2 linked regions of the Caenorhabditis elegans genome follow. The protein of the gene in region 1 interacts with the protein of each later gene in a pairwise test. Each region holds a gene or a part of one and is shown in the gene's direction. Other genes may lie near its edges.

Evidence for each region.
Region 2: the proteins of mxl-2 (region 1) and mml-1 interact in binary tests that used the Caenorhabditis elegans proteins (3 or more experiments, as listed by UniProt).

Annotation. Positions count from the first base shown.
Region 1 is NC_003281.10:186,302-189,853, reverse strand, and holds mxl-2 (Max-like protein homolog 2), read left to right. Parts: upstream 1-1,722; 5' UTR 1,723-1,729; coding exon 1,730-1,921; intron 1,922-1,974; coding exon 1,975-2,060; intron 2,061-2,438; coding exon 2,439-2,604; intron 2,605-2,658; coding exon 2,659-2,832; 3' UTR 2,833-2,905; downstream 2,906-3,552. Other genes in the region: ubc-20 (UBC core domain-containing protein), read right to left, coding at 413-539, 596-678, 746-841, 894-1,013. UniProt on the Caenorhabditis elegans protein: Transcription factor. Binds to the E box motif 5'-CACGTG-3', probably in a heterodimeric complex with mml-1.
Region 2 is NC_003281.10:7,369,593-7,376,550, reverse strand, and holds mml-1 (Protein WBSCR14 homolog), read left to right. Parts: upstream 1-1,819; 5' UTR 1,820-1,825; coding exon 1,826-2,097; intron 2,098-2,142; coding exon 2,143-2,246; exon of another isoform or gene 2,247-2,298; coding exon 2,299-2,558; intron 2,559-3,054; coding exon 3,055-3,256; intron 3,257-3,456; coding exon 3,457-4,040; intron 4,041-4,097; coding exon 4,098-4,956; intron 4,957-5,030; coding exon 5,031-5,236; intron 5,237-5,292; coding exon 5,293-5,450; intron 5,451-5,496; coding exon 5,497-5,629; coding exon of another isoform or gene 5,630-5,665; exon of another isoform or gene 5,666-5,820; coding exon 5,821-5,985; exon of another isoform or gene 5,986-6,032; coding exon 6,033-6,119; 3' UTR 6,120-6,420; downstream 6,421-6,958. UniProt on the Caenorhabditis elegans protein: Transcription factor that binds to the E box motif 5'-CACGTG-3', probably in a heterodimeric complex with mxl-2.

The DNA of each region.
Region 1 (3,552 bases):
CGAAAACCACGTGGCGTTTCTACAAGCCTGCTAATTAGTTGGCAGACCCAAATTCTAAAGAAAATCGGCCAAATTCTGAAATTTCAGGGCAAAAATCAATAATTTTCCGAGAAAATCGTGCATTTCAGTGTAAAACAGTCAGAATTGTCTCCAAAATTCGGGAATTAACGAATTTTGCACGTTTCCCATCGAATTTTCTCAATTTTGACGCTTCAAAACTCGAGTTGGCCTGAAAAATGGGAAATTATAGATAATTTTTGGGGCAAAATACGCAAAAAAACACACAAAATAAGGGAAGATTTGGGTCTGCTAATTACTTAATTACTTAGCAGACCCATATTGATTTTTTAATCGGATTTCGCAATATTTTCCCCATTTTTCCGCGAATTTTCTGAATTTTCCACGCTGCTACCTTGAAAACTGCTGGCTTCTCCATGTATTGCTTGGCGACGACGGCATCTTGAGGATCCTTGGGCTCCGGTGTGCACATCAACGCCTGAATCGACAGGAGAACCGTGCGAAGAGTCAGCGAAGCGGCCCTGAAGTTGAAAATAAATTAAATTTTCCGATTTTAAAATAATAATCGCAATATTACCATTGATCCTTAAGAATATCGAGGCAAATGACGCCGGTCTGCGAGCTGACATTCGGGTGCCAGATTTTTGTGCTGAACTTGACCTGAAAAACCGCGATTTTTACACAAATTTCGACAATTTTCAAGCTTTCCAGGCAGAAAAACTCGTACATTTGGTGGCGAGAATGGATATTGGTCTGGAATCTTAATATCCAAATCGAACATTCCACCGGCGTATGGAGTGTCTGGTGGACCGCGGATGTGTCCCTGAAAACCGATAAAAATTGAGATTTCCGACACACAATTCGCGGCGTTTTACCTTGATTTCGGTGAGATTCTCGTTCAATATCTCGATCATAATTCCGGTTTCGCTGATTTCCGAGTTTGTGACGACCTCTTTGCATTCTCGTTGGAGTCTGTTGAATGCTATGTTCGACATGGTCTGAAAACGATGGAAAATAGTGGAAAAACTCTGAAAAATCGACGAAAATCATGAAGTTCAAGGAATTATCGAAAAAGCTTCGAGAAAGTCTGAAATTATCATCAAAATTATTCAAACACCAACTCATGATAAACAGGGCGCGCCGCGGAATTTCGGAGCATCGTTTGCAACTGAAATTTTTGTTTTTCCCCGAATTTCATCGATTTTTCATCGTTTTTCGTGAATAAAAATCAAAAATCATGTAGAAAAATGTTGAAAAACCAATTTTTATGCGAAAAATTGCTTAAATCACAGTAAAATTGAACAAAAACCCGGAAAAACCGGAGAAAACCGTGCGTTAAGTCGGAGCATCGTTGTCGCCGAGAAAAAACGGGTTCAAACGATCAAACCCGTGATCGGAAGTATCGATTCACAGATTGATTAAGTTTTTATAGGAATTTTAGTTTTTGCATCATGATTTTTCTCAAAAAAGAAAATTGAACGTTTTTGCCGAAATACTTCTAATTTTCTCAAGGTTTAGAGGGAATTTCCATTTGTTTATTGAGAAACCCGTTCAGAAAATATCTAGAATTGATTGAAATCTTCAAAAAAAATCTTGCCAGGGAACAATTAGGTCTGCTAATTAATCAGCAGACCCAAATTTCAAAAATCCGCGTTTTTCTTCGTTTTTTTCCCAATTACTCTACTGAAATTCTCTGTTTTTCAGCCCAAAAATGTCTCGAAGCCGTTCCGCAGCTGCCAGCTCCTCTCAAAAGCCGGACGATATGGACCTAATGTCGCCGGACGGCTCGGCGAGCTCCCCATCGGCCCCAAACACGCCAGCGACGAATTCCGGCGGATTTAGCTCGGATAGAAAGAAGGCGACGCACTTGAGGTGTGAACGGCAGCGAAGAGAAGCTATAAATGTTTGTTGAAGCTTGGAAATTCGTGGAAAAAAGCTAAAATTTCAACTTTTCAGAGCGGATACAGTGATTTAAAGGATTTAATTCCTCAGACAACGACTTCGCTGGGATGTAAAACTACAAACGCCGCGATTTTATTCAGGTACTGGCTGAAAATACTGAAAAATTGAAGGAAAAATAACTGGAAAACATAAAAATTTGGGTCTGCTAAATATTTAGCAGACCATAGTTGGGTCTGCTAAATAATTAGCAGACCATACTTGGGTCTGCTAAATAATTAGCAGACCATAGTTGGGTCTGCTAAATAATTAGCAGACCAACGTGGATTTAGCATACCCAAATTGCGAAATTATCGAATTTTGATGACAATTTCAAGTTTTTTACATTAAAAAGCACGATTTTTTTCAAGAATTTCGTGTTTTTCAGCGGGAAAAATCACAATTCCAGTCTGCTAAGCCCATTTTTTGCTTAAAAACCTTCAAAATTCTGCAAATTTCCCCGAAAATTCAATAATTTCCAGAGCCTGCGACTTCATGTCCCAACTGAAAACCGACATCTCCGACGCCGACAAGCAACTGGCCCAGCTCAACGCACAAGCGGCCGCACTGGAAATGATTGCCTCAGAGTACGAGCAGATGGCTTCTTCGGTTCCTGACGCCGGCCAGTCCACGATTCAAGTCAAAATGGTTAGAATTTACTGAAATTTCCAGATTTTTAAGTCGAAATTCTCCAACTTTCAGCTCCAACTTCTCCTCGACGACTGCTTCACCTCGTTCTCCTCCCAAGTGGACTTCACCACGTACGCAACGATCACCAGAACGCTCCTGTCGTGGGTGGAGAGCCTGGCGCCAAATGCGGAGCCATTCAAGTCGACAGCCGGAAAAATGGTCACAATGCCCTTCACTTCGCCATAGTATTGAGAAGAATTTCCAGATTTTTAATCAACAAATGTATTATTCAACGCGTAAAAATGAAATTTAACAACAAAAAAGAAAATAGTTTGGAACATAAAATTAACTTTTGGTAGTTAATTGAAGAACTCGATCCAGAAGCTTCTGAGTAACTTCAGTGGACATTTCTGTGAACAAGTCAGAGGTTCTAACTTGTCTGGCCTTCTCTGTAGTCTCAATGGTTGAAATCGCGTGGTTCATGAGTTTCTCCAATTGAAATTTGTCAGCCAACCAAATCTTTGTTACATGATCGATTTCCGTGGATTTGAGAAGATGATTCTCTACGGAACTCGTAACGAACGGAACCATGAAACGATCAGCCAATTCCAGAAGTTTCTTGGCATTACTGTCCGTCGGGAAGTCATTTCCCGGGTGAATAATGGCTAAGAAAGCCTTCATATCGTCTGCCGAAACATCACTGATCTTGAATTCATTCTTCTGCTTCTCCTCACTTTCAAACTCAAACAACCCGCGGAAGAACTCGGAATGATACGAGAGGAACTGTAAAAAAATCACTTATTGAAGAAAATCAAATTATTTTATTCAGCTTACAGCTTTATTAACATGAAGCTTCGTATCTTCAACTAGAAGAATTGCATCAGAATTTTCGGATTTTGTCAAAAATTGAGATTTAATAAGAGTCAAATTGAGCTTGACGTAGTTATTGATGTGGCCGGGGATGTA
Region 2 (6,958 bases), 7.2 Mb from region 1:
TAATTTTGTGTTGTTGGTGTATTCTGTATTCTGTATACTGGAGAGTTTCGTTGATGTTAAAATAGTGGCTGATTGAAAACGCGCGAGGGCATGTGTATGTGTCAATATTCGTGGAAGTATTGTGCGGCAAATTGAAACAGAGAGCTGAGCGTATTTCATTGTGCCTGCGTCTTTCATGTTCAAGATGATGTCTCTGTTGCTCCAGTCTCCTGAGTCGATGCATCTCTCGTTTTTTGGATGCACTCGACCACACACACACACACTTACCCAATATACGCTCACACACACACACACACACGCACAACTCTAACATATTAGGGGCATAGGTTAACGTTTATTTATTTCTAAGTTTCAGAACCCTTTTCTAATTTTCTTTTTACTTCTGAATTATGATTTTCTGTTTGTTAATATGACTAGGTTCCGGAAATTCGGCAAGTGCCGAACGTAATATTTTTTTACCAAAAAAACATTTGCTACATTAGAAATTAGTTTTTTGTTCTTTTTTTGAGTTGTTTCTATAAAATATTCCAATTATTTCGGATATATTATCGAATTGTCAAAATTGTCTGATTGCCTGCCAGGTACGGTATATAATGCGCGTACGATATAATGTACTGGTTGTGCAGGTGCGAATCAAGATAGTTTTACGTAGTTGAGAGAATCATGGTTCTTATTAATACAACCTACTGTCTATTTTTGTTGAGAAAAATTGCAAACTGAAACTATAATTGTTTTGATGTAAAACAAAATAGTCATGAAATCTGTGAAAATATACGTCCTCCCGGGAGCGACCCCCGCTGCTTGTTATCATTATTATCAGATAATGGCCATTCTGTTTGTGTTATCAATCGTATTCTTCCATCCATTCTCCCTCCGTTTCGTCGTTTTCTTTTCACAAATATGTCTCGTTTTCTCCCCCTATTTCACACCAACACTGTATATCGTTGTGACTGTCGCTGGTCGACGATTCGATATATGATTTTTCCTATCTTTTTCGTCCCCCATCCTCTCCGATGTTGGTTCTCTGAAACCCTGTATCGATTGACTTTTGTCCCTGTCACACCCACAAACTGTTCAATACTATCTAGGTCGTACAAAGTTGAATTCAAATCGGATTATCGTACTCTAAGTAGTTTTGCCAAAACGCATAATTTTGTTTAACTGAACTGACCAGTGTCAAAACTTTTTGCGGGGACAAGTTTCAAAAATATTTTTCCATATTTAAAATAAATAAATAAATAAACTCGACTTAATGAAATGCACCCTATCTGTTTTAATTTTCGCACCTGTAAAAAAAACTTCTGAAATAGCTTTCTAATATCTTAAATAAAATTTTGCAATTCCATAAATAGTGAACCTATCTTTAACGCCTTTTGCAGCGGTTTTCCAAAACAATGCACAAAAAAAATAATTCAACAACAAGAGACCTAGACACTCTTTTAGTCGGTCACGTGTTGTAACAACTGATCCTCCATCGCTCTCCCCGTCCGTCCGTCCTTCGTCGTTTCTTCCTTGCTTATTGTCATCGCTCTCACACACAATTTTCCCACATTTCTCCACTTCCTTTTTTCCTAAAAAAGTTCCTCAGGGCCAAGCTATAAGTTTTTGCAAAGTTTACGAAAATGTGTAGATTTTAGTTGAGCTCACACCTTGAAGCACATAATTCTGAAAATTTGGCAATATGGGATTTTTGTTCGTGATTGGATGAATTGTAATTCCAAATAATCAATTGTACATTGTTACCTAGTAAATTTACTTTCATCCTCTATAATTCTTCATTTCACTGTTTCTACTTTTCAAAAGATTTCAATATTTTCAGACAAAAATGTCGCGCGGGCAGATTATACACAGTGGGCACTTTATGTGTTCGAATCCCCACGACGATCTAGTACAAGATGAAGATGAAGAAGATGTTGAAGTGGATGTAGTTGAAGATGATGATAAATCAATGGAAGCATCATCATCAGTTCATCATAAAAATAAGGCTCTCGACGAGAAACCGGTGACGTTTTACAAGTTTGGAGTTGGTAAAACACAGTCGATCGCGATTGATGTATCACTGAATAAGTTGAACAAATGTATCAAAGTTGCTTATAAGTAAGTTTATCTTCAATAAAAATTGATGGCATTGTTAGTTTGTAGCAAAATGACAACTCCAAAATGGAAGGATTTCAAAGGATTACGTCTTCATTGGAAGCAGAGGGTACGATTGAATAATGTTATTTGGAGAGCATATTATATTGAATGTAAGTTCCCTCTTTAATTTTATCAGCTATTGTTCAAAATCTTGTCTTACAGTTCGAAAAAAGCAGCCAGAAAAGCCGAAAAAACCATTCTGCTACTTTGCCGTACCCGACGATGACACAACACATCAAAAAATCGAGGGATCGATTGTCGAAGGAATGTATTGGAAAAGAAAAATGGAAGGTGTGTGTGCACAATATAAACGATGGAGAATTCGTTCGAAACATAATTTGGTCACGGATAAGGGAGGAATGGTGGCGACGTGCTCTTCGACAAGCGTCAGCAGTATGACGGGAGAATTGAAACGGAAAAGGGTATGATTTTTCTCGAAGCTTTTTTATACACCAAATGAAAGTGGAAGATTACCCAGACGCGAAACCTTTCGAGTTTTGCGTCAAAACTACGGTACATGGTCTCGACACGACAAATTCTTGTTTAATACATTAAGGTGTGTGCCTTCAAAGAGTACTGTAATTTCAAACTCTTGTTGCTGCATAATCGTCTGTTTCTAGTAGCGTCGGCAGATATTTGGTTTTATACAATCGAAAAAAAAACAATTTTTTCGTGTTCATTTTTTCAAAAAAAAAATCACTGCATTTTATAAAAAATTAGTTCCACTTTGAAGAAATTCCACACAATAATCTTCTATTTTCTGTAATTTCTTTTTTTTATATTTGAAAAATTAATTTAAACTTCGAAATATTTAAATGAAAAAAGGAAAAAGCGACAAGAAACATCCGAAAACAGACGAAATCGAAACAAAAAATTAGAAACAAAATTTTAATAAATATCGAAGACATTTTTTTAAAGAAACACACCGTTCCAAAAGAAACAATTGAAAGCAAGTTGCGAAGCTATGAGCCACCTGTAAAACTTCAAAGAAGTCAGACGCCAAAACACACGATTTCTGATGAATTTGCATGGGATTTTGATGACTTGGATAATGTTTTCACTGATGATTTTCTAAATTCTCTGAGTGAACCTTACATGTTTCCGGATCCAAGAGATGTTTGTGAGTTTTTTATTTTATTTTTAACTTTTGATTATGAAAGAAACTAAACATATTATGTTAGTTTTATTTGAATTTTGTAGCAGTTTAGAAACTATTTCATTTGATGGAACAAAATATGTGTTAAAATATTTTCAGTAAATCTATTAATCTTTATAAATACTTCATGCTTTATATGTCTAATCGTCAAAAACTTGTTTCAGATAGTGGAAATAACGCTGATATCATGCAGCCAGGACTCCTCCCACTACAGCCAACAATCGAGGATATCATGATGTCATTAGGCGACGATATGCCAGATTCTCCGCCATTCCACAATGATCGGGACACAATGAGAACTCCGACGAATGATCAGCCATCAATATCAGCACAACAAATTCCTCAAATGAGAAGATCTGCTTCATCTTCGGCGTCTTTGCATCAAATGCAAGTTGCTCAGGCTCAGGCTCAATCCATATCTCAAATATCTCAACCATCTCAACAACTGCAACATCAAATTCAAATTCAACAACCTGTTGCGGCTCGTCCACATGAGTTTATGGCTTCGTCGATTATGATGGACTATCGATTAATGCCGACACGACAATCATCTGCAATTACTTCACAAATGCTTATGCTCAGTCAATCCGCATCGACATTGTCTTCACAACCACAGTATGCCACATCAACACACTATAGCACGAATAACTCATTTCTCCCAATTCGAAATACAATGACAAACCAACATCATTTGGGCCATACGAGTCAGCATTCACCTTGGAATAAGCAACAACAAAGTAACTTCTTGGTTAGTTTGAAAAATGCATGAACATTTAGACAGTTTCTCGAAATTCAATAACTTCAGGTTTCCCTACCACATCAATCCCACGTCGAACGAATTCTGAATAATCAACCACCACTTGTTCCGCCTCCATCCAGATCTAATTTGCTGCCGACTCAAAATGATCCATATCTTCCTCAATTTCTTCAATCCACTCAACCTACTCCACAACCCCAATCTCATGATCCAATGATGGCTCCATCGAGATCATGGTGGCTGGATAGTCCGTTGACTGCAAGTGTTCAATCACCATTATCAGTAGCAACACCATTGCCTCTTGCCAATCAAACGGGACCGCAGACTCCATTGGGTCAGCTTATTGGGAGTGCGGACAACGGTTTTTTATTCGGTGGAAATAATACACCGGGTGGATTTAAAATGAGTGGGACTACCAGTGGTGTTCCAACTTTATCACAAAGATTAGAACAACCTCCAATTAGTCGAACTTCAACAATTTTTGGAAATGTCGAGAATAAACCTGAAAGAATATTCACTTCATTAACATCACAGAATACACCAACACCATCTCCTCTGGATATTTCTAGCCTTTCTCGCTTACGCACATCATCTCTCAATGAATCATGGAAAATGAGTCATATAGTAGAAGGATCGCCTACTTATCAAGCTTTTGCTGCGTCGGTTACCACGAAGCCGTCAATATTAGAAAGTCCTTCAACATCTGGAGATATTAGTGGTCCCGCGTCAGTTCCAGTACAAGCTTCACAGCATCCACCGAAGATCATCACACCACCGTCGGCGTCGTCAAAACGAAAAGAGCAAGAAGCAGCGATGGCGCCATTAGTGAACAGGCAGCAGTCTTGTGATGTCAATCTACTCAATGGAAAAATGGCTGTGAAGGTCGAGGAGAAATCCGGAAGGCATTGTAAGCATATTTTTTAATGTTTCTTCACCAAAGTTATGTTATCTCCAACTGAGTTTAAATTAAGTAAATTTCAGACTTACCAACCACACCCACCGAATTGAAGGAAGTAACAAAAGAAGAACCACTGTTGATGAGTGCACCATCAAGTGTCAAATCAATGCGACGACAAGCTCCAGATTCCACATTGCACCCAGAAGAACGCAAAAGAATATTGCATTTACACGCTGAGCAAAACCGAAGAAGTGCACTGAAAGATGGATTCGACCAGCTTATGGATATTGTAAGTTTTGGTTTTTCTCATGAAATCTCCAATTCAAAATTTTATTTTTTTTCCAGATACCCGATTTGTATTCTGGCGGTGTTAAGCCAACGAATGCTGTCGTTCTAGCCAAGTCAGCGGATCATATTCGAAGATTGCAGGCCGAAAAATGGGATAAAACACAGAAGATCGACGAGGCCAAAGCGAAAATCGAAAAACTGAATCAGAAAATAACGTAAGATAGTTTTTTGTTGAAATATTTTAAAACTGTATCAATTCAGATCCTTACAATCAAATCTTCCCCAATCGAGTGCACCATCCAGTTCATCACAGGTGGACTCGAAAACTTCACTGGAAACATTTTTCGATAGATATGTCAAAGAAGGCGCGAAAAAGAATTGGAGATTTTGGGTGGTAAGTTATCTAGCAGAAAAGTTGAAATTTTTTTAAAATCTATTGCTGAAAAATCGAAATATTTCTCCACCAAGGTGCACATCCTTTTGGCACTAAAAAAGAATTTATCACGTCGAGGCCCGTATTTTTGACAAAGCAACCGCAAAAATTTTGAATTACTATTGAGACAAATTAATACAACTTCATAATAGATGTCCCAAATGCTGAAACCAATCTGTGTCACACAAACAAACTCTTTCGCATCGTCTGTAGCAGGAGACTCGTCGTCAAGAAATGAAGTAGCCGCCTCGTGTTCTGATTGGCTGAACAAAAATTGGAAAGCCACAGAACTTCGGCCGCTTGCGAGTACACTTTTGGTAAATATAATATAGATACTCATTAATAATCAATTTATAAATTTCAGGTCTCTCTTGCAACCAACTCGAGCATTCTCGCCGAGCCGGACACTCTTCCCGATTATGTCATGCAACAACTCAAAAATCCATTTTGAACTGCTCATTATAGAATCATGTTTATTGTTTTTAACATACGATTTTTCTGCGTAGATTTGTTTAGATTTTTTGAAATATCTCAGTCCCTTTCATGTTGCCATAACTTTTTATCCAGGATTCTAATCATTTAGATTCAATCACGGGTTTTTTTCCCACTAGCAGCCACCACAGAAACAGCCCTCGTTTATATGTTCGGGTTACCTTTATATTACAGTTTGCTCAATTTCTCATGTATTAAATGTACATTGTCTCTACCTCTTCTGGTAATTTTAAAAAGAAAGAATTATACATTTTAAATTTATCACTCTCGACGGTCTTCATTTTCAAACACATCGAATAATACCGAAGAAAAAATTTTGTAGCAATAGAAAGGAAATTTACAAAAAAAAATCACGAAAAAAGTTGATTCGAAACAACCTTCTTCCTTTAAAAAGTAAAAATTAATTAGAACTTTACTAAATTTATTTTTAAAAAAATTAATGAACGTTTTTCAAAATACAAATAAGTGTCTGAAGATTACTGTAGTTTCTAGCTCTTTGCTGCATTGGTTTTCTTCATTTTTTATAGTTTTTTTTTCGTTTCTTCGCACCTTTTTTGGAAAATCTGAACTTAAGAATAATGAAAGGTGCAAAAATGTTGTGGCAACATAAAATCCAAGAAAATTTTGAAACAATGTGGATCTAGGAACTACAGTACACCATAAAGCGTAAAAAATTGGAGTCTACATTTCAATTTCAAAAGTTTTGACTCGAAATAAAAAAAAATGTCCAAAACGTTTCTAAAAGTTTGTATTATGATATTTAGTTATTTAAACATCATAGGAAAATAGACGTGTATT